2 linked regions of the Danio rerio genome follow. The protein of the gene in region 1 purifies or fractionates together with the protein of each later gene. This does not show direct contact. Links are inferred from orthologs where the notes say so. Each region holds a gene or a part of one and is shown on either strand. Other genes may lie near its edges.

Region 1 (2,853 bases):
AAATCTTCTAAAGTACCAAGGTTTTAGCTGACATGCTGGTTCAAATGCATATCTTTTTAGTGAAAGGCAATTTTTCTTTATGTTATTAAAATAATTTAATTATTTTATTATCTACAAAGATATACAAAAAACTGTATGATCACTAGCTAAAATTAATGTCTTTTAAAAGAAATAGGTAATTATTTACAGTGTTTAATTATTTAATTTGATCACTTAATAATAAAATTTAAATGTAAAATATATATTATATATATTTAATATAATATTATATATATATATATATATATATATATATATATATATATATATATATATATATATATATATATATATATATATAAATTGGACTTGTCTTTTAGAATTACATTTTAAATTAAAATTTTAAATATATATATATATATATATATATATATATATATATATATATATATATATAGATAAGGCTAATATTTTATATATTAAAAAGCTAAAACAATACTAGAGGTGCAAAACATAGATTATCTCTTGAAAAAATCTGTCATTTTTATTCATAAAATCAATTGCAATGAAACCGCAGAACGTTCCCTTGTTCCTCATTGGGGGAATATACATAAATTACATATCTAAATTACTGAAACCATTTACAAGTATATAAAGATCCTCGACATTTTACTTATGCATACACAATTAAACTGAATATTTTCTTCTATGATTGTTGAATCTCATTTTATTTCCATCCTGGAGTTAAAGTCCATGTTCCCTCCAAACCTAAGAGCAAAGATATGAACCTTTAAAAGCATATAAACCTCAGACAGTGCAATACTTTACATTTAGGTGACTTAAAGGGACAGAAAGTGTGTGTTTTATACATGTCATATGTTCCGATTTAAATAATAATAAAAGAATAAGATTAACTAAAAAAGGGGGAAAAATATGTAAATAATCTAATAAGCAATAACAAGCCTGTCAGCTCCATGAAATCCCACATTATCCTCATTGTGGATTCTGCATGCTCACCTTTAATGCAGCTCTGTGAATTATTGAGTGCCTGCGTGCCAGTCGATCAATATCTCTGGAATAGCCTCCTCCAATGACAGTGGCCACAGGAATGCCGCTTTTAACAACTGTGTGAAGCACATAGAGATCCCTCCGGTAAAGTCCTGCGTTGAGTAAAAAGTACAACATTGAATAATCAGTTGCATTTTGCGATTTTAGATGTGTTACAGAATGAACAAATTCACCTTCATCAGTGAGTCGAAGCTTTCCTAGTTCATCATCCCAGTGCGGATCCACACCAGAATCATACAACACCAGATCCGGCCTGAAAGACTCCAGTAGCCAAGGAAGATGTTCCTGGACTTGCATAATACAACAGATAGGTGTATATTTTATCAAGAGTTTTTCTTAAAGGGGCAGTAGGTGATTGTTTTCAGTAACATGTTTTGTTGTGCTGGTTGAAAGACTCTTCACATTCCAATAGTAATCATGATTTGATTTACTACAGGCAGCAAAGAAGCAATAACAGAAAACCAGGCAAGGATCAAACACGGAATGACTAGACAGGATTAACGCTTTGTGATGCTACAATAATAGTGAACAAGACTAAGCCCAAAAGTGTTTGTGCATGGCGTATAAATAGAACTTGTAATCAATAAGCAGCTCCCGCAGCTGTGTGTGTGTGTGGGTAATCAACGGAAAACCAGAACAGTTGTGTGTGAGGTACATTACAGGAATTGTAGTCCATATGGTGACGGGATTGTAAGTGAAGGTGTATAATTCCCTGCGATCTACAAGCCTGGATCGCTGGCGATTGTGATACTAATGCCGAGTTCAGACTGCATGATTTTAGCCCCGATTTTGACTCGCCGACAGGTTTTGTGAAGTCGTTGACAAATGCCTGAAATCAAAGGCAAATCGGTGCTCGTGCACCTGAGTGACAATCACACAGTATGAACTATCAAAGATACGACCTGAGAGAATCTCCGATGAGTCGCTGATGCCCGTGAGATATTTGGCATGCTAAATATCTGGAGCTGTCGGCGATTCAGATCATGCTGTGTGAAATGAGTTTTGACTGAAAATAACATCGGCGATCGCCTACAGCCAATGAGAAAGCAGCATTCACTAGTGTGTGTGTACCTGCAGGCCAGCGGGAGGTTGAGGGAGAAGTTAAAAGCGATCATTTTCGGTTTATTTGGACCCAAGAAATGGAGGGAAAAACTAGTTGAGGTTTGACAGGAGCACACACACGGGTTTGACGTTTCATACAGAAAGTTAGAAAAGAAAGTTGAGGAGAAATTGCTAATTCCTTTCAAACCCAGGTGAGCAAATATGTACATTTTCTACCCCATTAAAGGCTTCTTTTTTGTTATGTAGTTAATAACAAAAGATATATTACGTGTTTTTGGCTGTGAGACGAAGTTTGAACGAAGTTGTCTGCAATTCTTCCTATTAAAAAATTATGCAGTCTGAACTCGGCATAAGTTACTTTTCAAACAAAAGAATTAGAAAAGAAATTAAAATAATATTTTTGATGCAATCAATAATGAATATTTTTTTAAGTAACCTATCCAACACTAGTACTGTACCTAGGTTTATGTGGCTTTAAGGGCAATTTGTTTATTTATTTTTTCTCTCTCTACCAAAGAAGTTCTAATTTTTGCGACTGTTTTAGATCTTGTAGAACAGGGGTCTCAAATTTAAATAGGCGGGGGGCCATTTCAGTGACTGACAAATCATAGGAGGGCCGTTTAAACATTCAAGTACAAGAAAAAAGTGGAAACCTGACATAATTAATGCATCTTAGGACAACAGACATGACGTTTATACTTTAAGTATTACCTGTCACTATTGATAAAGCAAATCAGTAGGTGT
Region 2 (4,204 bases), on another chromosome or scaffold:
GTCTCAAAGTGTAAGACAGAAATGATGATAATAAAAACAACAAATGTCGAAACCAAATCTAATATTTATTAGATTTATTTAAATAAAAATGAAAAGTTGTGGTTATAGTATTAGAGGGAAAATTATGTAGGTTCATTTTTAGTCTTTAGATTTAGTTACCTCGTTGTGGTAGTGAAGAAGCGGAGGAACTTGACATGGTAGAACAGGTTTCTTCATCACTGTCAGGAGGAATGTCTTCAGCTGATGCATCAGAATCACTGTCAGAGAGACTGACATCCTTACTCTTCTTTCCTGAAAACATATGAAGAATCAATGTACAGAACTATGTACAATACATCCGGAAAGGATTCATAGAGCTTCACTTTTTCCACATTTTATATGTTACAGTCTTATTTCAAAATGGATTCAATTAATTTATTCCTTAAAATTCTACACACAATACCCCATAATGACAATGTGAAAAAGATTTGTTGAAATTTTTGCAAATTTATAAAAAAAAAAAAAAAAAAAAAAAAAAGAAAAAAAAAAACACACAAGTGCATCAGTATTCACATATCTAAATTGAGCTCGGGTCCATTCTGTTTTCACTGATCATTCTTGAGATGTTTCCACAACTTCATTGTAGTTCATCTGTGGTAAATTCAGTTGATTAGCCATGATTTGAAAAGGCATACACATGTCTATATAAGGTCCCAGGGTTGACAGTGCATGTCAAAGCACAAACCAAGCATGAAGACAAAGAAATTGTCTGTAGACCTCAGAGACAGGACTGTCTCAAGGCATAAGCCTGGAGAAGGTTACAGAAACATTTCTGCTGCTCTGAAAGTTCCAATGAGCACAGTGGCCTCCATCATCCGTAAGTGGAAGATGTTTGGATCCACCAAGACTCTTCCTACAGCTGGCCGGCCATCTAAGCTCAGTGATCGGGGAGAAGGGCCTTAGTCGGGGAGGTGATCAAAAACCCGATGGTCACTCTGTCTGAGCTACAGCGTTCTTCTATGAAGTAAGGAGAACCTTACAGAAGGACAACCATCTGTGCAGCAATCCATAAATCAGGCCTGTATGGTAGAGTGGCCAGACAGAAACCACTACCCACCCGGAATTTGCCAAAAGGCATCTGAAGGACTCTCAGACCATAATAAAATAAATTCTCTGGTCTGATGAGACAAAAATTGAACACTTTGGAATGAATGCCAGGCGTTACGTTTGGAGAAAACCAGGCACCGCTCATCACCAAGCTAATACCATCCCTACAGTAAAGCATGGTGGTGGCAGCATCATGCTGTGGGGATGTTTCTCAGCAGCAGGAACTGGAAGACTAGTCAGGATAGAGGGAAAGATGAATGCAGCAATGTACAGAGACATCCTGAATGAAAACTTGCTTCAGAGTGCTCTTGACCTCAGACTGGGGCGACGGTTCATCTTCAAGCAGGCTTCGAGTCCAGACCCAAATCCTATTGATCCTCCTATCTCTGTAGGGATCTGAAAATGGCTGTACACTGTTGAAAATGGCTGTACACTTCCCATCTAACCTAAGCTTGAGAAGTAGTGCAAAGAGGAATGGGCAAAACTTCCTAAACAAAGGTGTGCCAAGCTTGTGGCATCATATTCAAAAAGACTTGAGGCTGTAATTGCTGCCATCAACAAAGGTGCATCAACAAAGTATTGAGCAAAGGCTGTGAAAACTTATGTACATATGATTTCTTTGCTTTTTTATTTGTAATAAATTTGAAACAATTAAAAAATATATTTTTTTAACATCATCATGATGGGGTATTGTGTGTAGAATTTTGAGGAAATAAATGAATTTAATTAGATTTATTTGGAATAAGGCTGTAACATAAAGAAATGTGGAAAAAAGTAAAGCGCTATAAATACTTTTCCCACTGTAGTTATTACAGTTGATGTAAAATAAAACACACACCTTGAGAACTGGTTGCAGGTGCAGGAGAATCCTCTTTTTTCCGCGCTTGGAACAAAACTTCTCTGTTGACTGAACGTTTCACTTGAAAACCTCCCTCTGTAGCTGTAAGAGTCAAATTTCTTCATTAATGTGAGACACTGTAGTAGGCAAAACACTGTTTATTCATGCAACTCTATATCGTGAGGTTTTGGGCTTTTTATTTACATTTCACACCAAGTTGAAAATTCCATCATTATTTACTCTATTTAATTGTTCCAAACGAGATATAAGATATAAATAAGACATCTTGAAAGCTGTAAACCTGACCTCTAAGTTATAGCATCAGCTGTTTTTTTCTACTATGAAAGTTTACAATTATAGGTTTTCATATTTTTTTCTAAATATTTTATTATTTCTAATTAAGATTATTACTAATTATTTTATTATGCATTTAATGTAATCAATCAACTGATAAATAATTGTGATACATTTTTACCCCGATCATCTGCAGTGTTTTGCTTTAAGACACATACATTTATCAAAAACCTGGCTATAGTGTTTATACTTACAGTCTTTATCATCAGAGAAGCTGAGTGTTTTGCTGTCTGTGTGCAGTTTTCTGTCTTTGGTCTGGAGTGCTGAAACTGAAGCCTCCTCTTCTGCCTCACTCGAGTCACACTCTCGAGCTTCTCGTGAACTGCTTGAAATCCCTGCTTTTGAGGGTAAATCTGCCTTTAAATCCGCATCTTTTCCACCTTCACCAGCAGCTAATTTTCCATTGTCGTCTTCATCACTGGATTCATTTTTCCTTTGCCGGAAATTTCGGCGCGGCTTCTTATTAAACATTATAAATCCAATGCTGAGTGAAATCAACGCTTTAAAATGACGTATTTTGTACTTCCTGGTCGTCGTTGAAAAACATTTCATAATAAAAGTCCTGTGTGAATGTATTTATTTATTTATTTGTTTGTTTGTTTATTTATTGCTTTCAAAAACAGTGGCGCATTAGGTAGTGCTGTCGCCTCACAGCAAGAAGGTCGCTGGTTCGAGCCTCGGCCGGGTCAGTTGGCGTTTCTGTGTGGAGTTTGCATGGGTGCATCTTTGCATCTCCCTGCGTTCGCGTGGGTTTCCTCCGAGTGCTCTGGTTTCCCCCATTGTCCAAAGACATGCGGTACAGGTGAATTGGGTAGGCTAAATTGTCCGTAGTGTGAGTGTAAATGAGTGTTTCCCAAAGATGGGTTACAGCTGGAAGGGCATCCGCTGCGTAAAACATGCTGGATAAGTTGGCAGTTCAGTCCGCTGTGGCGACCCCGGAATAAAAAAGGCAGAAACTAAGCTGAAAAGAAACTGAATGAATGAATGCTTTCAAAAACAGTTAACAGTATATTAGAGAAAATTGGAGCATTAGAAAAAGACGGACATGTTGTGACAATCTGCAAAACACATTTTAAAGAAGGTGAAAAAAGGAAAAAACATAAATTAAGTAAATAAAAAAAACAATAAAAAATCAGAGACCAGAGGGGAAATTATATAAGGTTATACATTGAAATCCATTTTTAACTTTTAAAAGACTTTTTGTTTTTATAGCCACTAAAGACAAAATATCCTATATGACTTATAGTCAATTAAATAATAATAATCTTTTTCCAAAAATTTACACTTTATAATATGTAATTCTATAACAAGCAATAGAAAGTGACCCTCATCATCACTAACAGAATGCAAAATCTCCCCACAAAACTTGTTTTTGAAAATAGCGACACCTGCTGACCGTTCTGTCTCATGAGACATCCACATCAGTCCCCCCACTGAGATCTCCAGAATTTAGCATCCTCCTAAAAAAACAGTCCGAACCATAGTTTTTACCAAACAAAAAAAGTGTTTTGCGCATAGCATTGTTTCTTAGACCCCTGACATTAAGTGAAATGAACGATAACGACATATAAGTGACAAAAGACAAAGAACAGTTGTTGACTATGAGGTCAAACAAAGGCAAAAAGTCAAAACTGACTAAATGTAAAGGTGTTGAGATGAACAGAGCCCAATAACCAACTTAAATCACTTAGTCATAAATCCAGCAGAAAAATAAGGTAATCTCTAAAGCCGTAATGACTTGAAACAGTCAGGTTGTCATTTCAGTGCTTAAACAGTAACCTTTACACCTTCAATGAATGCACGTGTCCCGATGTAATATGCCACTTTTCCGGCAGCCCTTGACTCTTTTACTTTGGGCCACAAGCTCTTCCTTCTTTCCTGGTCCAGAAATGACAGATCCTCCTCGAAGCGCAAGTTATTTTCTTT

Evidence for each region.
Region 2: the proteins of hdac12 (region 1) and gcfc2 purify together in Homo sapiens (co-immunoprecipitation; 3 studies listed by BioGRID and IntAct, counting the BioPlex papers as one, with this or other methods). This does not show direct contact. The link is inferred for Danio rerio from reciprocal best matches to the Homo sapiens genes HDAC11 and GCFC2.

What each region holds. Positions count from the first base shown.
Region 1 is NC_133190.1:36,319,202-36,322,054, reverse strand, and holds the end of hdac12 (uncharacterized protein SYNPCC7002_A1628), read right to left. Parts: intron 1,338-2,853; coding exon 1,221-1,337; intron 1,140-1,220; coding exon 997-1,139; intron 748-996; coding exon 724-747; 3' UTR 501-723; downstream 1-500. UniProt on the Homo sapiens protein: Responsible for the deacetylation of lysine residues on the N-terminal part of the core histones (H2A, H2B, H3 and H4).
Region 2 is NC_133192.1:34,235,129-34,239,332, reverse strand, and holds the start of gcfc2 (intron Large complex component GCFC2), read right to left. Parts: upstream 2,801-4,204; 5' UTR 2,750-2,800; coding exon 2,473-2,749; intron 2,027-2,472; coding exon 1,925-2,026; intron 292-1,924; coding exon 160-291; intron 1-159.